4 linked regions of the Oryctolagus cuniculus genome follow. The protein of the gene in region 1 binds, or shares a complex with, the protein of each later gene. Links are inferred from orthologs where the notes say so. Each region holds a gene or a part of one and is shown in the gene's direction. Other genes may lie near its edges.

Region 1 (4,740 bases):
CAAAGCAGTTAACAAGGAATATGAAGAGTATGTTCTAACTGTTGGTGATTTTGATGAGAGGATCTTTCTGGGAGCAGATGCAGAAGAGGAAATTGGAACACCTCGGAAATTCACTGGTGACACCCCGCTAGGGAAACTGACAGCACAGGCTAATGTGGAGTGTAATCTTCAACAACACTTTGAAAAAGTAATATAACCTAGCCTCGCCTCAGTCTTGAATGATCTTTTTCTCTCTGTGTGTGATTTCTACTAACAGCAGAGCATCTTTCAAGTTAAGTCTTGAGTTTCTTCTACTAATTCATATTTAACATGCAAGCCTTAAAAGGTAATTTTCAAAACTATGGCATTTGGTACTCTTACATCTTTCTTCCTATTAATGATAGTTTGGGTATATTTTCCCAACATGCTTCCGTTTATCAGATTATATGCCTTTTGACATAAAAGGGAATTTATGCTTCCTTATTATTTGCTTCAATATAGACTCTTTCATATTCCTTTAAAATTTAGTGTGCTATCCTAGCCATGACATAAGCTATTAGTTCTTCTCTAAATCCAGCCCTTTAACTCTAGGCTTGTTGACCAAGGCTTAATTTTGTATTTATGTGTGAAATGGGTTGGAAGATGAGCTCAAATGGGAAACTCACTGGTTTAGAAGGTAGAAAACCTAAAATTTAGTCTTAGCTCTGCCATTAACTTTGTCAACTTAAGTAGGTTTTTAGCTTATCTGGGCACTTTCCTCGTAAATTAAAGTATAAGATAAAATGAGAGTATAGATAGAAAGTGCTGTTACTATGGGGCTGGAGTTATGTATCAGATTAAGTGGCTGCTTGTAGCGCCAGTATGATATATGGGTGCCAGTTTGAGTCCCAGCTGCTCCACTTCTGATCCAGCTCCCTGCTAAGGCACCTGGGAAAGCACCCATGTGGGAGGCCCAGAGGAAGCTTCTGGCTTCAGCCCTGCCCAGCCCTGGCTGTTGCAGCCATTTGGGGAGTGAACCAGGGATGGAAGAACTCTCTCTCTCTGTCTCTCCTTCTTCTCTCTCTAACTCGGCCTTTCAAATAAATTAAATAAATCTTTAAAAAAAAGTATTATTCAAATATAAAAATATTATTAGCATAGTATTGCTAAAAATTTGGTAGGTAATAAAGAGGGGAAAAGTAACTATCTATAAATTTGAATATGCATAGTATGTATACTGAATTACACAATAAGCAGGAAGTAAATGTTAATCTCACAGATTTTTCTTTTCTCATAGAAAAGATCATTTGCACCTTCTACCCCACTGACAGGACGGCGATATTTACGAGAAAAAGAAGCAGTCATTACTCCTGTTGCTTCTGCTACCCAAAGTGTGAGCCGCTTACAGAGCATTGTAGCTGGACTAAAAAATGCAGCAAGTGAACAACTTACAAATATTTTTGAGTAAGTTTAGTTCTATTATATAATCATGTGTTTAAAATTAGATTCTTATTCTGTTCTGTTTGTAGTATATTCAGCCTTCTTGAAATAGTGGATACACATTTGGCAAGTTCTACTTTACAGTTTCAACCACAATATATATTGACCTAAAACCAGATAGTAGTACTTTTTTTTTTTTTTTAATTGAAGTAACTTGTTTAAGAGGTATTTATTTATTGGAAAGGCATGGTTACAGAGAGGCAGGGGCAGAGAGAGAGAGAAAGAGAGGTTTTCCCATCTGCTGGTTCACTCCCCAGATGGCCTTAACGCCTGGAGCTGCACTGATCTGGAGCCAGGAGCTTCTTCCCACATAGGTGCAGGGGCTCAAGGACTTGGCTCAAAGACATCTTCTACTGCTTTCCCAGGCCATAACAGAGAGCTGGATCATATGTGGAGCAACCGGGATTTGAACCAGCACCCATATTGGATGCTGAAACTACAGGTGGTGGCTTTACCCGCTATGCCGTAGCGCCAGCCCCTGGATAGAAGTACTTATTAAAAATTGTATATAAATGTTATTCCACTGCTTTTCCCAGGCCATTAGCAGGGAACTGGATCAGAAGTGGAGCAGACAGGACCTGAACTAGAACCTACATGGGATGCTGGCATCTCAGGCAGTAGCTTTACCCACTTAGCCACATTGCCAGGCCCTATAAATGTTATTTTGTAGTATAGACTTCAAGGTTAATTGTATCCTAAAAGTTATTTGCCTCAGACATTTTAGGCTTATTACTACCTCTGAATTATACATATTTTTCCTTGTACATTGTGTTTTTGGTTTTTTTTTTTTTAGGATTTATTTATTTGAAAATCAGAGTTATAAAGAGAGAGGGAGAGACAGAGAGAATCTTCCATCCATTGGCTCACTCAATGGCCAGGGCTGGGCCAGGTCAAAGACAGGAGCTTCATCTGGGTCTCTCACATGGGTGGCAGGGACCCAGGTACTTGGGCCATTGTTTTTGCCATCCCCAGCACATTAGTAGGAACCTGGATCAGAAGTGGAGCAGATGGGACTTGGAAGTGGTGCTTATATGGGATGGTGGCAGGAGAGGCAGTTGCTTAACCCCCTGCACTAGGGTAGCAGCTCCTCAAGCAGTGTCTTAAGTACCATGCTAAACATACAACCTTAAACTATTTGTTAAAAGATTTGTTTATTTTGAAAGGTAGAGTTACAGAGAGAGAAGGAAAGAGAGAGAGGTCTTCCATTCACTAGTTCACTCCTCAAATGGCCGCAACGGTTGGGGCTGGACTGATCTGAAGCCAGGGGCCAGGAGATTCTTCCAGTTCTCCCATATGGGTACAGGGGCCCAAGGACTTAGGCAATCTTCTGCTACCTTCCCAGATGCATTAAGAGGGAGCTGGATCAGAAGTGGAGCAGTTGGGACTTGAACCAGCACCCAATTGGGATGCCAGCGCTGCAGGCAGCAGCTTTACCCACTTTGCCATAGCACTAGCCCCTAAACTGTTTCTTAAAGAGAAATCTTGTTAGTTTTCTTTTTTTCTGATAATTAGGTTCCTCTTTGTATTTTATAGATCTTGTATACGTAATCCTGTGGAAAACATTACAAAAATAGTGAAAGGAATAGGAGAGACTTTCTGCCAACACTATACCCAATCAACAGATGAACAGCCAGGATCTCACATAGGTAAGAAGAGAAAACTAAGTTGGCATAGCATTGTCCCCAAAACAGAACTTCGATTTTTCCTTTTCTGTTACTCTTAATGTATCAGATTTAAATTTATACGATAAATGTTGTTCTTTAACACAATTTAAATTTATACGATAAGTTTTGTTTTCAACCCTTAACTTGATTTCATTAGCATATGTTTTCCCTTTACTTCTCTTACAGACTTTGCTATAAACAGACTTAAGCTGGCAGAAATTTTATATTATAAAATATTAGAGACTGTAATGGTTCAGGAAACGCGAAGACTTCATGGAATGGATATGTCTGTAAGTAAATCCCCTCTCCCAGCCACTGGGGAGGTCAGGAAGTCCTGGCCTAGAAGTGGTGTCCAGGAGGCTCTGCAGCTGTAGAGGGCCTTCTGGGGTCAGCAGTTTATGGCACACTTGGTCAAGATGACATTTTCACTGGCCTCAGTTGAATTTGCCACAGCTAGGGCTAGCCATACATGCTCATATTTGGGATGCTGTCAGTGTCCTTTTCCCTTAGTCCTTTTTGTGTCCTTCATTCCCCTACTGTGTCAGCTCCCCTACTGATAACTGAGGTGTTTGTTTATAACTCCCTGTGCTTTTAGATCATAACGTGGTGGTAGTTGTTTTTTTTTTTAAGATTTATTTATTTTTTTTTAATTTTTCTTTTGTAGATTTATTTATTTTACTTGAAAGTCAGAGTTACAGAGAGAGGAGAGGCAGAGAGAGGGACAGAGAGAGAGGTCTTCCATCTAATGGTTCACTCCCCAGTTGGCCACAACGGCCGGAGCCGCACCGATCCAAAGCCAGGAGCCATGAGCTTCCTCCAGGTCTCCCACGTGGGTGCAGGGGCCCAGGCACTTGGGCCATCTTCTATTGCTTTCCCCGGCCACAGCAGAGAGCTGGACAAGAAATGGAGCAGCCGAGTCTCGAACTGGCACCCATATGGGATGCCGGCACTTGAGGCCAGGGCATTAACCCGCTGTGCCACAGCACCAGCCCCAAGATCTATTTATTTGAAAGAGTTATAGAGGCACAGAGAAAGAGAGAGAGAGATCTTCCATCCACTGGCTCACTCCCCAAATGACCGCAACTGCCAGAGCTGTGCCGACATGGAACCAGGAACTTCTTCCAGGTCTCCCAAATGGTTGCAGGGGCCCAAGGACCTGGGCCATCTTTCACTGCTTTCCCATGCCGGCAGAGTCCAACTGCAGCAGCCACGAGTCCAACTGGTGCCATACGGGATGCCGGCTCTGCAGTTGGTGGCTTTACCAGCTCCATCACAGAACTAGCCCTGGGTTTTTTTTTTTAAATACTTTTTTTCTTTGAACTTTTGACGAAGTCTGACCACTCTCCAATAGCTATGTAAAAACATTTCTACAAAGTCAAACCTCTTAAATGATCTTTGATCTTTCAGTTTCATCCTCTCTTCCCTGCAGTCACTAGTCTTCTGATCTTCTATTCCAGTAGGAATAGCTTGATATCTAAGGATGCAGTATAATTATTATACCATTTTTCTTTGTTTTCACTCTGGAAATTTTCTTCATATCTCTTCATTGTGGTTCCCCTTTTTTTTATCTTTAAATTATTTATTTAAAAGGCAGACATATTGAAGCCGGCATTGTGGC
Region 2 (5,283 bases), on another chromosome or scaffold:
TAAAAATATGAAAAATGTGGACAATATACTATATTCTCATATAAGATGCTGATTTTTATTTTTGAGGTTTGGATCCAAGAATTTGCATTTTTAACAAACACTGTAGATGATTTTTATTCCTAATATATGGGAATCACTTGTGTAATTTTTAGCTCCTCAGCATGAGATTTTGAAAGCTAATGAAAATGGCTGCTAATTCATGATTTTCTATTCAAATCCCAGTTAAGTTAAACAAATGAAAAATTCACTGTGAAAACCACAAATAACATGCTAACCAAAGATTCAAATGACCTATTAGCATAATAAATAGTATGATAACCGCTTTGTGGAAAACCTTTAAAAACTGAAATGTATTTTCAAAATTACCAAAACTTGAAGTGATCCTACATACTGTGGACCCAATTCAATCTCCCGCCAAATTCATGTGTTGATACCCCAACCCTTATTAGGATGGGATTTAGAAGTGGTGACTTTGGGAGTAGCGAGTCACAAGATAGAATCACAAGGATGGACGTCTTGTGATGAAATTAGTGCCTTTTTAAGAAGTCAGAAAGCTAGTTTCCCCGCTCCTCCCTCTCTTTGCCACAAGAAGACACAGGGAGAAAGCCACCATCCATGATCCAAGAAGAGGGCCCTCACGAAACTCACCATGCAGGCTCCTGAACTGTGAGCAAATAAATTTCTGTTGTAAGCCACCCAGTCAAAAGCCCAAGCTGGCTAATACACCACATAACTGTAATGGCTAATTGTAATTTTGTAAAATAACAATGTTAGCAATTCTTTTCAAATCTTGACTTCATCTTTAAATTAAAACTAGAACTTTAAGGAATACTATTGGACAGCAATCAATAACACTTATTTGCAAAACTTGCTTAATATTTGGCTAATGTCAAATCACATATACATAATTGTTCAAATCTAGTTCTAATAGATGAAAATTTTATGTTTAAGATTTTCATTCCAAGTTTTTTAAATAGAGTTGAGTAAAAAAAAGTTACTTGATTATTATTCTGTCTCTGTGAATGAGAGCCATAACACTTGTATTAAAATAGTGCATCCGGCTTCACTAGTTAATACTGTTGTTGACTATTTCACTTCAGTGACCCTTTTTTTGCTAGTTCCCTGTTAAACTAAGAAAAATCTTGCATGAAATTTGATTAATGAATATTTGCCAAATGAAGCTGTCATTCACCTTCCTATTGTGTGACACCAAATCGTTTAAAATGTAGTTTTAATGCTCAAGAATTTGTAATACAATGAGAAAGCATTCTTTTACTCAGATCTGCATGACAGCATTTAGGACAGAGGCACAAGAATCTGTGAGCTTCAACTATTCCAAATAATACAATATCCTTTGGTTCCGGCAGATCATTAAGCACTTGTTTAAACGCAGGAGATCCGGGATCTAGCGGCTTTTTCTCTGGACTTTCACCCCCCCTCTCTCTACACACCACTGTCTCCATCTACGAGGTAAAGGCTTTGAAAAGGACTCTTTGATTACTCCAGGACTCCACTTTTCCTGTATTCTGACTCTACGAAGACCGTACTTGGTCCCAGTCATGGAAATGTCTGCAAACGACGCAGAAGTTGGGAAACAGCAAAGGAGCGAGAAGCCTGCCCACAACCAAGAGTGACGGCAGGAGGCTGATCCGCAGCTCTGCACTCCGACAAGTCCGCCAACTTCTCAGCTCCCAAAGTTTCGTCCGCGGGGCAGCGAGGTCGCTAGATCAGAGGGAAGTCTCCTCGTGTCTCCTTTTCCGTCAGACCCGAGATGCCCTGAGGGAGCCCTTCGGTTCCCGAGGCGCTCGCCGGCGTCGCGGGCGAGCGTGAAATCCGCTCCGCCACGCTCCGCCACGCTCCCGGCGCCCGGCGCGCCCCTCCTACCCACAGAAAAATGCGTTTCCAGGCAACGGCGCGCCGCGGCGTCACTTCCTGCCATTTAAACTCCGGTCCCCACCCCTCGCAGCCCCTTCTGGCTCCCACTCCCCCTTCCCTGAGTCGTGGGCTTGCTTCGTGCTTCCCCGAGCTTGGGGAGGGGGCGGAGGCCCGGCGCGCCCGAGCGGCCCCGCGTCGTCGCGGACGCCGCTGCGCACCTGTTGTGCGCAGGAGCCCGGGCCTCTCCGTGCGGTTCTCGGCGGGCGCTGGGAGCGGCCGAGGCAGAACCAACCCTGCAGGTGGCCCCGGGCGGGGCGGGCGAGCGGCTGTGCGCGGAGGCCGGACCGCCGCGGTCCCGGGACGCGATGGCGGCGGCCGAGCCCGCGGGCTCGGGCCAGCAGGCGCCGCCCGGACAGGGGCAGAGTCAGCGGCCGCAGCCGCAGCCTCCGCAGGCGCAGCAGCTCCCGCAGCCGTCGCCGCCGCCGCCGCAGCAGCAACTCGGGGGCGCGGGTGGCGGTGGCGGTAGCAGCAGGCACGAGAAGAGCCTGGGGCTGCTCACCACCAAGTTCGTGTCGCTGCTGCAGGAGGCCAAGGACGGCGTCCTGGATCTCAAAGCGGTGAGCTTGGGAGGCGGGAATGGGGGCGGACTTCGGTGCCCGTGGCTTGGGGGAGAAGCCCAGCCCCTTGCGGCGTGGTGTGGACGCGGCCCGCGGGAACCGGGGCCCCAGAAAACCGGGGCCATGTGGCCCTGATGCCCGGTTGCGGGCGCTGGGAAGGGGGAGGGAAGAGGAACCGGGATCGCCTCCGCCGGCCGCGTAACCAATGAGGTCCGACGCCGCGCGGGGCTCTCGACAAAGAGCCGCGGATCTGGAGCCCGCGCGCGTGGCTCCTGCCTTGGGACGCGGGGACCCCGGGACAAGCGAGGGTGTGCGGCCACCTGTGGCAGGGGCGTGGGGGTGGCCCGGAGCTTTGCCGGCAGACGACCTGGGGGTTGATTTGCTGTTGGGGATGGATGGTTTTGTAGTGATTCTGGTTGGAATTGTACTGTTTTAAAAAAGAAAGAGCCCGGCGTGCCTTCTCTTCTGGATGAAAGGGAGAAAAGAAATGTTCGTAGCCCATGTTAAAGTAGCGATAGTACAAAAAAAAGTTTTCATGAAATACTTCCTTTCATCATCGTGGTGATTAGGATTTGATCTATGGCTTAATTCGACATCAGTCACAGATTTCGCAAAGTGTGATTTGCCATCGCACCAAAAGGGGCTGTTTTATAACTTGACCCACACAGGTGGAAGCGCTCAGTAAACCTGGCGGTTTTGTGAAAACTTGTATTTCGCCCTTTACTGCGACCTAGATTTTTTAAACCAAAAAACGTGCAAAAAAACTTTTTGGTGGTGCAGAATGACTTAACCGTTCGTGGCAGGATCTGGAAGAATTCCACAACTCTGAGGGGGAGGGGAGAGAATGTGACGGCTTGCTTTAAAACTCAGCTACTCACACCAAGTTTAAGGAAGAACCAAAGTTTTACAATCAAAAAAATACTAAGTAGCCGGTGCGGTAGTCCCTGCGGACTCTGGCATCCCTCCCACCAGCCCACACCCCCGAAGCTGGCTTTACTGGGAAGATTGGTCCCTGCACTCAGGGCAGTGCCTGGACCACCTTGCCTGACCTGTAGGGGTCCCTGCCATCCTCAAGGCTGTGCCTAATTGCAGTAGAAGCCTCATCAGCTGAGGAGGAGCGCGCCTAATTGCAGTAGAAGCCGCATCTGAGGGGGAGCGCCACAGCCAGTACTTCCCAATGGAAGACAGATTGCAGGGCCCTGCTCCGTGGCTTCCCGGTGCAGCCCGGAGAGGAGGTGTGTCTTTCCATGCCCTCGTCTTCCCTGGATGTAGTAGGTGTTCAGTAAGGTGGCTGGTGAATTATCTGAATTGTTCTGCGGAATTCAGATGAAACAGACTGCATTTTGGAAAGTAGTTTGTGCTATCTTGAAATATTATTCCTGGATTTCCCCCCCGCCCCACCTTCCACAATTCCTTATTCTCTTCCCCTGCCCCCCATAGCTGCTTTTTTTCCACCTGCTCTGAAAATGCTTTATGGCACATGTGATACTGTGATGAATTAAAATGGATTCTGTTTGAAGAATTTTCCCAGGAAGACATTAGGTCATCAGATACAGCCAGGGATGTTAAAAAATTCAGATTACAAATTGCTACTCAAATTGTAGAAATTCAGTTGTAGATTTTTGACTTTAGTATAATAGGGAAGTTTGGGGTTTTTTAGATAAAAACCAACCTCCGGGGACTGCAATTCTTGAATTTCTCCCTCAACATGCCTCCTAATAGGATTGAGCTTTGCCTTTGCTTGACCTTAAACGCTTTTTACTTCCTCCTGTTTCATCTGTGGCCATGACGTTGCTCTGTGGAAGTCACAGAGGTAGTGAATAGGATGTAGTGTGGTATTTCATAACAGCTTTCCTTCATCCTGGAACTCTCCTAAAAGTTAAAGATTTCTGCGGTAATATGTCTCATTCTGTTGATGACTTGCTATTTCTGGAGAACTGTTGGAGTGTCATTCTTCTTCACATATATGAAAAATATGTACATTTTACTTATATTTTCCACTTATTAATGTAAATATTTTTAAAAGTTCAAGGAGAATAGAATTAAAACTAAGTTTATTTTGATGGAAAAAGTTTTTGAAATTGCCACATTGGTTTGGTGCCTGGTTAGAGGCTGGTGGATGGTTATGGCAGAGTGCATACAGAGGAAGGATTGTATGGTGAGCCGGGAAGCAGAGTGGTTGGACCAGCATCAGGCTTGTATAACCTACTCTCTCCAACTACCTTCCAAGGGCACACCCCCAGTACCTAAGGGGTGGCCCGCTCCTCAACACCATATCAGTGTATGACTTAAGGGTTTAACAGTCAGCCTGAGTTTGGGAGCCATGTCCTAGCCAAGCCATAGCACATGCTGTTTTCTAATATATACCGCTGAAAAATAAGGACATCATTTTGTCTTTTAGTGGTATATTAATATATATTAACTTATTAACATAACTAATTGAGGACAAAGCTATACTGAGTAAATCAGTTCTAACAAAGCTGTTCTGGAATAATCTGACAATTATGGAGGAATGGAAACACATTGGAATTGATTTGAGGAAATTGTCTCCAGTACCTCCCCACTTCACTTGCGTTAAAGTCTCGTTTGTAATGGTGGAAGTGGAATGGTTATCACTTATTTTTTTTCCAGTGAGTTGAGAAGTTGTATCATGATATACAGTTTGCCAGTTTATACTGTTAATACAGTTAACACTTATTGAGAGTTTACTGTGTGCCAGGCATTTTGCATCTGTTAACCAATTTTGTGCTCTTCACAATGGAAGTTTGGGGGCCTGGTATCGCCATTTCAC
Region 3 (4,740 bases), about 6.1 Mb from region 1:
TGATCTGAAGCCAGGAGCCTGGAGCTTCTTCTGATTTTCCCGCATGGGTGCAGGGGCCCAAGCACATGGGCCATCTTCTGCTTTCTGATGCCATAGCAGAGGGCTGGATTGGAAGTGGAGCATCCGGGACTAGAACCAGTGCCCATATGGAATTCCGGCACTGTAGGTGGAGGCTTAGCCCACTACGCCACAGCTCCGGCCCCAGGAAGTGAGGTTTTAAAGCAGGGGAGCCCTGCCTCCTGGTTTGGACAGCTACCCTGTCCCTCTCTACGTCCCCTGGCTAAGGGAAGCTTTCCTTCTGTTTTATATGCACTAATCTGTGTAGGTAGCTAGGAGTAGACATTGGGGCGGCATTGGGCTAAGAGATTGGTGTGGGGGCCTGTGTTGTGGCTTAGCAGGTTCAGCCACAACCTGCCGTGCTGGTGGTTCAAGTCTACTTCCGATCCAGCTCCCTGTTAACACACCTGGGAAAGCAGTGTGGGAAATGGCACAGGTGCTTGGGCCCCTGTGCCCATCTGGGAGACCTGGATGGAGTTCTAGTCCTGGCTTCAGCCTGGCCCAGCCCTGGCCTTAACCCTTTCTCAGGGCACAGTATGGCAGTGTTAAGTATTCCCCATGGTCTACGGGGCAGCAGATCTTAGGAAGCTTTCTGTTTTCTGAGAAATGGAACTCTTACCTTTTGGGCACTAATTCTCTCCCCAGCCCTTGGCTGCTAGGTGCCTGCTTTCTGTTTCTGTGGCTTTGACTGCTCTCGGTACCTCGTGACTGGAAGCACACAGTACTTGTCCTTTTGTGACTGGCTTATTTCATGGAACAAAATGTCCTCAAGGGTTGTCCCTGTTCCATCTAGTATGTTTCAGAATTTCCTTTTTTTTTTTTTTTTTTTTTTTTTTTTAGTTTGCCTTCTTTTTAATTAGAGATTTGTTTATTTACTTATTCAAATGGCAGAGTGACAGAGCAAGAGAGACAGAGCTTCCATCCACTGGCTCATTCCCCGAATTGCTGTTGACAGCTGGGGCTGGACCAGGCAGAAGCCAGGAGCTCAGAGCTCCATCCAGGTCTTGCACGTGGGTGCAGGGGCCTGAGCCGTCTCCTGCTCTGCTAGTCACATTAGCAGGAAGCTGCGTCGGGGCCGAATAGCCCGGGACTCGAACCCACACTTTGATATGAGATGCTGGTGTGGCAAGTGGTGGTTTAATCCGTTGTGCCACATTAGCCTCTGTTTTTCTTCATTTTTTTTTTAAGACTGGGTCATATTTCATTGATGTCTTTACCATGTTTTCTTTGTGTATATCATATTTTTTAAAAATTTTACTTATTAGACAGAAATCTTCCATATGCTGATTTACTCTCAATGCCTCTAACAGCTGGGGCTGGGCCAGACCAAAACCAGGAGCCAGGAATTTCATTCAAGTCTCCTGCATGGGTGTCAGGGACTCAAGTACTTGAGCCAGAGTACACATTGTTAGCAGGAAGCTGGAATAGGAGCAGAGCTGGGATTTGAACTCAGGCACTCTGATATGAGAAAGTGTGTCCCAAGTGACATATTTTTTTTTTTTTAAGATTTATTTATTTATTTATTTGAAAGGCAGAGTTACAGAGAGGCAGAGAGACAGAGAAATCTTCTATCTGCTGGTTTACTCTCCAAATGCCCACTACAGTTGGAGCTGGGCTGGTCTGAAGCCAGGAGCCTGGAGCTTCTTCCAGGATTCGCATGCGGGTGCGGGGGCCCAAGGACTTGGGCCATCCTCCACTGTTTTCCCAGGCACATTAGCAGGGAGCATCGTTGGAAATGGAGCAGCTGGGACTTGAACCGGTGCCCATATGGGATGCTGGCACTGCTGGCAGTAGCTTTACCTGCTACACCACAGCGCCAGGCCCCCCAAGTGCCATCTTAACTGCTATTCCAAATACTCCTATATATTTTATTTCTATAAAATTGAGAAATACTTTATATACAATCAACTGCCGTTCGACGTACAGCTCAGTGAATTTCACAGGTGCTTGTTTACAGCCACGAATAGCAGCAGTCACGTTCCAGAACATTCCACTACCCCCAACACAGTCCTCGCTCTCCTTGCTGTCTCTTTTGTCCGACCACTGGCTTCCTTTTTGTTCCTGTATCTTAGTTCACATCTTCTAGATTCCGTGTGCGTGGAATGATCCGGTATGTCCCCGTTTATGTCTGACCTATCAGGATCCCGAGATGCACGTTGTGTGACAGTAGCTCCTCTTCAGGAGAACGTGTCTTCTGCCTGCTCTCAGTTCTGCCCATGGCTACCCCACCTCCAGAGCCGAGTCCTGTCACCCCGGGCCTGGGTGCAGTATTGGCCTCGCATGTCCACTCTGCCTCCTTCCATCCCCTTTCCTGCCTTGCAGCAAGCACGTTGGAGCCCTTGTCACAAGCCATTGGACCGTAAATGCTCACTGCTCAGATGCCGCGGTGGCTTAGCCTGCTGCAGAGGCGTCAGTTTTGCATGAGGCCTGGTCCCTGCCGTCCCTCCAGAACCATCTCGCGTCCCTTGTTCACTTGAGTCCAGTGTTCCAGCTTTGCGTTCCCATTACTGTGCATCTCTTTGTGTCTCTGAGCTTTCGATGAGCTCTCCCTAGACCATAAGCCCCTCAGGGTTGCTGCCTGCCGCTGTGACTGCCATTCCTGGCGCGCAGTAGGTGGTCATTTTAAGCCGGGATGGAAGGACGGAGCTGTTCTTGGAGGGGCTACTGTTGGGGGCGCCTGGGAGGCGGCCTCCTGCACAGTGTGCGCTGAGCTCTGTCTTCCTCGTGTTGGCAGGATGAGCAGCTGAGGGCCCTGGTGAGGCAGTTCGGACAGCAGGATTGGAAGTTCCTGGCCAGCCACTTTCCTGTGAGTATGGCAGGGGTTCTCGCCGACCTACCACTGTGCCGGGGACAAGCTTCCTGCCAGGGAGAAGGCGAGGGAGTTCTTACCAGTTCCCTCCGAAGGAGAACCACGTAAAAGACGACTGTGTTCATGGGACCTTGCTTCCCAGAGGCGAAGCCTCTGCCCACAGCTGCCTCGTGTGTCCGGGGCTTTGCGGGGTTTGTAGCTGTGGCCAGTGACATGCTTATTTGCATTGCTTCGTGCACTGCTGGAGCGGATGGGTGCTGGGTTCCTCAACAGTGAGGCTGCAGCTGGGGGCAGGTGGTGCTTCCGCCGGCTGCGGCTGCACAGTAAGGCCCTGCAGCCACCCCACCCCCAGGCTGCAGGTGTCTGCTCTCTGGCTTACTGCCTGGGTCCCCAGGGCCACTAGAGGTCGGAGCCACCAGAGCCCTTTTGTCCACTTTGTTCATCTGCTTTTCATCCGTGTGGTGCTTCAGAAATAGAAACACTCTCCCAAAAGAAAGCAGGGATCTGGAACCTCATGAGTCTGTTACAGGCTTGGCAGGGGTGGCTGCCTGTGTGGGTAGTGGGAGGTGATCTTCTACAGGGGCCCGAACCTGTCCCCGTCTGCAGCAAAGGGAAGCCACGCGTGTCCTCGTGTGTGGGCCTGCAGTGTGTGGTGGGGGTGGTGGTGGTGGCATACACTGGGCCCTGAACCCCTGAGCCCAGTGCTCCAAAGGGTCCCAGCCCATGGATCAGGAGTTCTCACAGATTCCTGAATGTTCTTCCTGTTCACTTCCCAGAACCGCACTGACCAGCAATGCCAGTACCGGTGGCTGAGAGTTTTGAATCCAGATCTTGTCAAGGGGCCCTGGACCAAAGAGGAGGACCAGAAGGTAACTCAGCCACCTGTATTCAGTGGGCCTTCACCCACCTGCAGGGCAGCAGGCACCGTTGTGGGCATGTCCATGCACATGAACCTGGGAGTGAGCCAGCCTGCGATCAGCCCGGGTGTCCCCAGGTGTCCAGTTCGAGGCCCCAGGTCCTGATCCAGAGGGTCTGCAATCAGGAGCTGGGGCTGTTGGGCAGAACACTCAGCTTCTTGGTCCCTGCAGTAGGGTTTTTGTGAAGGTTGGACAGGTGATGCACGGGAGGGGTTTGTGTGGTCCCTGCACCAGCTGAGCTTACAGAGGGTGGCAGGTGCTATTTTCTTGTTATAACGGTGACTGTGCCTGGTGAACCGTTTTCCTGGGCACTGAGCCTTGTAAATGCTGTGTCCTTTTTTTTTTTTTTTTTTTTTTTTTTTTTTTTTTTTAATTTATTTTTTTTTGACAGGCAGAGTGGACAGTGAGAGAGAGAGACAGAGAGAAAGGTCTTCCTTTGCCGTTGGTTCACCCTCCAATGGCCGCCGCGGCCTGCGCGCTGCGGCCGGCGCACCGCGCTGATCCGATGGCAGGAGCCAGGAGCCAGGTGCTTTTCCTGGTCTCCCATGGGGTGCAGGGCCCAAGCACCTGGGCCATCCTCCACTGCACTCCCTGGCCACAGCAGAGGGCTGGCCTGGAAGAGGGGCAACCGGGACAGAATCCGGTGCCCCGACCGGGACTAGAACCCGGTGTGCCGGCGCCGCTAGGCGGAGGATTAGCCTAGTGAGCCGCGGCGCCGGCCCTGCTGTGTCCTTTTGATCACAGTCGTGTGAATGGGTACAAGGGGACATCAAGGCTCAGAGTAGGGTGCCCCCAAGCTAGGAAGAGGCAGCACCAGGACCCCCGGGCTATTTCTCAGGAGTCTTCTCTCTGGTTCTTCCTGAAACCAGCCCAGAGAATGCCACTGCACTGGCAGGCGCAGCCCAGGGAGAAGAGGGAGGTGAGAGGACTAGATGTTTTATTATTATTTTAAATTTA
Region 4 (4,740 bases), on another chromosome or scaffold:
TAGACTGCAGCATCTCCAGTGACAAGTGAGTGGGGATGTGGGGGCACGCAGGCCTGGCCCCCTGCGGGCGTGCTGTCCTCACGTGCACTCTGTCAGCCGCAGCCCCCCGAGGCTGCCCTGCCTGGGGTGCACAAATCGCCTCCTCAAGCCTAGGAGCCTTCTCCACGGCCACGCTGTCACGCGCCCTCCTCGGTCCCCTGTCCTGTCCAGGCACTGTGCTGCCTGAGTGACAGGCGAGGCCCGGCCTGGGCCCCAGCTGCGATGCATTTCCTGTGTGCAGTGGGTGAGAGCATCGCTGAGGGGCTGTGCCGAGGTGGGGTCCTGATTGCGTCCTGGCATAGTTCATTGTGCTCCTGTGTTTGCCATGTCGCTGTTGTGTGTTCCTGGGTACGAACGGATGGACATGAACATGCTAGGCACATTCTCTGCCTTTTACTTTATTTATTTCACATTTTTAACTACGATTGATATAACATTAATCTACATCATAGCAAGTTCGAAGTAGCACTTTTCAAATGCAGCATTACTTTGTCCCTCGTGGAACGTCTTGGCTGTTCCCAGTATCTTGAGAGGGTGAAGAGTGTGTACGGCGTGGGGTGGGCCTGGCCCTTGTGTGGCTTGCGCCTCCCACGCTGCCTGCTCCGAAGCTCCACTTCTCAAGAACTGACGGGAGTGATAGCAGAGCTTCCGTCGCCTTAGCCTTGTTGTGAGGCTGCAGTTGGACGATGCTTGAGGAGTCTCACTGGGGGCAGACACTTCACAGACGTCAGCTGCTGTGACAGCGGTCCGGGCTGCCTGGACGCCTGCGTGGTGTCTACTGTCTTGTCTTTTCTTTCTTTCTTTTTTTTAATTCTTTTAAAAGTTGATTATAAACCAGTTTTGCAGGTCACAAGGAAATAAAAGGACCATGTACAGCCTTACAGGAAACTGAAACTATTTTTTACTGTGTATGGACACATAGCCTCAATCACCAAGCATTTTAAAATTTATTTATTTCTTTTAAAATGTATGTGAAAGACACAGGGGCAGGTTCAGCCCGGAGGTCCATAAGTCTGAATTATTATTCATATCCTTGCAGTTTCTTTGCAAAGAAGTTCTAAAAGGACTGTTAACAATTCTCATTCAACTGAGAATTCTAGAAAATGGTTGACATCTTTTTTGAGGAAAAAATCCCCAAACTTGGCATTTTTAGTTAGTCTCTTTCAAATTAGTCTTGTTTTGTAGGGGAATTAATAATTCATATCTTCAGTTGTTTAAGTCTAAAAAAGGTATCAGGAAAACCTGGGACCCTTGACACACAAGATTATGGCAGCATGCCCCGAGGCTGGGGCCTGACAAGGGTTCTGTCTCTCCGGGCCACTGGCCCAGCCCTTTCCCAGCCTTCCTTGAGCGTACGGAAGGCATTCCTGAGCAGTAAACCTGTTCCTCAAACTGGGTCCCAAACCCTGGCTCTCAGTTTGGGGAGGCAGTCTTTCCTCTTATTGGCCAGGAGACTTTTCCCACAGGGAGGATTGAGTTTATAAAACCTTCTGCTGGGGGCCAGCACTGTAGCTCAGCTGGTTAAGCCCCTGCCTATGGCGCCGGCATCCCGTATGGACGCCATTGAGACCCGGCTGCTCCCCTTCCCATGCAGTAACGGAGGATGTCCCGAGTGCTTGGGCCCCTGCCCCCACTTGGGAGACCCTGAGGAAGCTCCTGGCTCAGTTGGTGTTGCAGCCATTTGGGGATCTCTCACTGTCACTCTCCTCTGTAACTCTGTCTTTCAAATAAATAAGTAAATCTCTTAAAAAAGAAAGAAAAACCATCTGCTTGTGACAGATGCCTGAAACCATCCCTGAAGTAGGCATCTACTGTGGATATTTTTTGTTCAAAAAAACTTGCTAGTGTACTTTATTCAAATCCACGTATTTCAGGACTTTCTGATTCAAGTTGTCTTTTTTTTTTTTTTTTTTTTTTTTTTTTTTTGGACAGGCAGAGTGGATAGTGAGAGAGAGAGACAGAGAGAAAGGTCTTCCTTTGCCGTTGGTTCACCCTCCAATGGCCGCCACGGCTGGCGCACTGCAGCCGGCGCACCGCGCTGATCTGAAGGCAGGAGCCAGGTGCTTCCCCTGGTCTCCCATGGGATGCAGGGCCCAAGCACTTGGGCCATCCTCCACTGCCTTCCCGGGTCACAGCAGAGAGCTGGACTGGAAGAGGGGCAACCGGGACTAGAACCCGGTGTGCCAGCGCCGCAAGGCGGAGGATGAGCCTATTGAGCCGTGGCACCGGCCTTCAAGTTGTCATTTTTATACTGATATAACATAAAGTGTTTCACCCTCCCATGATTTTAGTATGATTTGAGGACAAGGTGAGAATCCCCAGTCTGGAGCTTCCCCTGAACTCTGTCCCTGTGGTCGGGCCTTGGGTGAAGGTGCCGGAGGCCCAGTGGTGGACTCAGTGGCCGTGCCCTCTGCAGGCCCCTCTGTGTGGAAGGGTTGTGCTGGGCAGGTGAGCAGCGGGATTGAGGAGTTTGCAATGGCAATGTCTATGACACTTTTTCTTAAGATTTTGCACTCCTTAGCCTACCAAGTTAGGATTCATGGGTGCTTCAGTTTGGTAAGTCTTCCATATATTGCCCAGCTGAAGTATCCTGTATGGGTGGGTATTTGGCCCAGCAGTTGAGATGCCAGCCACGCTGCCTGTGTCTCACATCAGATTGCTTGGGTTTGAATCCTGACTCTGACTCCTGACTCCGGCTTCCTGCTAGTGCAGTCTCTGGGAGATGTAGTGGGGTCTCTGCCATTCATGTGCTAACTTTGAGTTTCTGGTTCTGGCTTTCTCTGCTTCAAATGAAAGAATAAATGAATGAATGAATGGATAAAATGCTGTATCCGGCGCCGCAGCTCACTAGGCTAATCCTCTGCCTTGTGGCGCCGGCACACCGGGTTCTAGTCCCGGTTGGGGCGCTGGAGTCTGTCCCGGTTGCCCCTTTTCCAGGCCAGCTCTCTGCTGTGGCCAGGGAGTGCAATGGAGGATGGCCCAAGTACTTGGGCCCTGCACCCCATGGGAGGCCAGGATAAGTACCTGGCTCCTGCCATCGGATCAACGCGGTGCGCCGGCCGCGGCAGCCATTGGAGGGTGAACCAACGGCAAAGGAAGACCTTTCTCTCTGTCTCTCTCTCTCACTGTCCACTCTGCCTGTCAAAAATAAAAAAAATAAAAATAAAATGCTGTAGGTAACACTGAGTCACGAACATGAAGTAAGCATTCAAAATGTTATATTTTTTCTTGAAGCGGATAAGCCAATTCACAGTCCAAATATCATTCGTTAAACTAGAAAGACTTCTTGTGTGGCAAAGCTGTAGACCATTTTGAAATGTATTGCATTCAGAATAAAACTTTTGATTCCTGCATGCAACAGCATTAGGGCTAAAGTTTATGTCTCGGGAAAGTTGTTTTAATTGGAAAAGCGCTTTCTGTGAGATGTCATTCCCCGAGCACTGCACAATGACTCATTGCTCCAAATGCTGACAGTTCTGGCCCTGTAGCTGAACTTAGGCCCTCGTTCTCTTGTTTAAAGTAGCTTGTACAAAACTATTCAGAGCTCTCCAGTACTAGCAGCGACCGCATACCGACTTTGTTTCCTGATGCAGGTTTGAGTATCTTTTCAATTTTGACAACACCTTTGAGATCCATGACGACATAGAAGTGCTGAAGCGGATGGGCATGTCCTTTGGCCTGGAGTCTGGCAAATGCTCTCTGGAGGATCTGAAACTTGCAAAATCTCTGGTGCCAAAGGCTTTGGAAGGCTACGTCACAGGTATGGTAACAGGCTCACACACCTACTCCCTGTCAAACCCCAACCTGTTCAAGCTTCTCCCATAGGAAACGGCAGAATTTTGGAAAATCTGTTCTTATGTCCCCAAATTGAGACTTTTAACCCCTTACTGAATACATTTAGGACTCCTCCCACCCACCCACCCCAAATTAGAATAAATAGGTTGTTTTCCTGACATTGGGAACTTCCACCTGTGTAGTACAGCATGCGTTACGGAGATCTAAACTGGCTGACTCATTACTGAGTTTGGCTCCCCAGTGATATCTTTATCTGTTCTTCCCAGCAGTCGGCCTAGAGCCTGGGCAGGGGAGAGCGCTCAGTAAGTGCTTGATGGAGTTTGTGAACATCCTTTCTGAGTGCCCTCTGGACCCTTCCAGGGCCACCTGGGCAGTCTGCAAGAGGAAGTAGGTGCCCCTCCGTCCTGCTCTCTGGGCTCCTTTGTTTTCTGTATTGTCTTTCTCTACATAAAAGTCAAAATAGAAAGTTTCAGCGCCAGAAAAACAAGGCCAGGACATGGTGACTAGAGCCTCGTGCTTTTCTTTTAGAGAAACAAGCAAATATGGTAACTGAAAGCAATTTGTTATTGAGGTTTGCCCACTTCTTACCTTTATATGAATGGAATCAGAGATACATTCTTTGGTGATTGGATTTTTTCTTCAACATTATGTTCTTTGAATCCATCCAAGTGATTTCATGTGGCTGTTCATTCACACAGTTCTACTTCCCAAGACCACTGCAGTATTTGACTAAAAGCACAGCTTATTCATTTTATTGATAATAAACCTTTAATTTGTTCCTAAGTACTTGGTGTTAAAATCCTAAAAAGGCTGCTTTGAATATTCCTGTAATGTGCCCTGGTGCCTGCCCATGTGCAAATGTATGAATTGAAATTGTTGGGTTGGAGTTGTATGTGTCTTCAGCTT

The links.
Region 2: the proteins of RBL1 (region 1) and E2F5 are in contact, whole or in part, in a crystal structure (PDB 5TUV), measured with the Homo sapiens proteins. The link is inferred for Oryctolagus cuniculus from reciprocal best matches to the Homo sapiens genes RBL1 and E2F5. Residues at the interface, in NP_002886.2 of Homo sapiens: Ser1000, Ala1001, Leu1002, Leu1003, Tyr1004, Lys1005, Phe1006, Asn1007, Ile1017, Met1020, Ile1021, Gly1024, Glu1025; in NP_001942.2 of Homo sapiens: Met162, Ile190, Ala192, Pro193, Ser194, Gly195, Thr196, Gln197, Leu198, Glu199, Val200, Pro201, Ile202, Pro203, Glu204, Met205, Tyr213, Leu217.
Region 3: RBL1 (region 1) and MYBL2 share a complex: the UniProt entries of both Homo sapiens proteins name them as parts of the DREAM complex. The link is inferred for Oryctolagus cuniculus from reciprocal best matches to the Homo sapiens genes RBL1 and MYBL2.
Region 4: RBL1 (region 1) and TFDP2 share a complex: the UniProt entries of both Homo sapiens proteins name them as parts of the DREAM complex. The link is inferred for Oryctolagus cuniculus from reciprocal best matches to the Homo sapiens genes RBL1 and TFDP2.

Annotation. Positions count from the first base shown.
Region 1 is NC_091442.1:21,427,190-21,431,929, forward strand, and holds part of RBL1 (retinoblastoma-like protein 1), read left to right. Parts: coding exon 1-187; intron 188-1,255; coding exon 1,256-1,422; intron 1,423-2,991; coding exon 2,992-3,104; intron 3,105-3,308; coding exon 3,309-3,412; intron 3,413-4,740. UniProt on the Homo sapiens protein: Key regulator of entry into cell division. Directly involved in heterochromatin formation by maintaining overall chromatin structure and, in particular, that of constitutive heterochromatin by stabilizing histone methylation.
Region 2 is NC_091437.1:110,675,326-110,680,608, forward strand, and holds the start of E2F5 (transcription factor E2F5), read left to right. Parts: upstream 1-1,999; 5' UTR 2,000-2,240; coding exon 2,241-2,492; intron 2,493-5,283.
Region 3 is NC_091442.1:15,287,851-15,292,590, reverse strand, and holds part of MYBL2 (myb-related protein B), read left to right. Parts: intron 1-2,791; coding exon 2,792-2,863; intron 2,864-3,642; coding exon 3,643-3,735; intron 3,736-4,740. UniProt on the Homo sapiens protein: Transcription factor involved in the regulation of cell survival, proliferation, and differentiation. Transactivates the expression of the CLU gene.
Region 4 is NC_091435.1:139,902,127-139,906,866, forward strand, and holds part of TFDP2 (transcription factor Dp-2), read left to right. Parts: coding exon 1-25; intron 26-3,632; coding exon 3,633-3,799; intron 3,800-4,740. UniProt on the Homo sapiens protein: Can stimulate E2F-dependent transcription.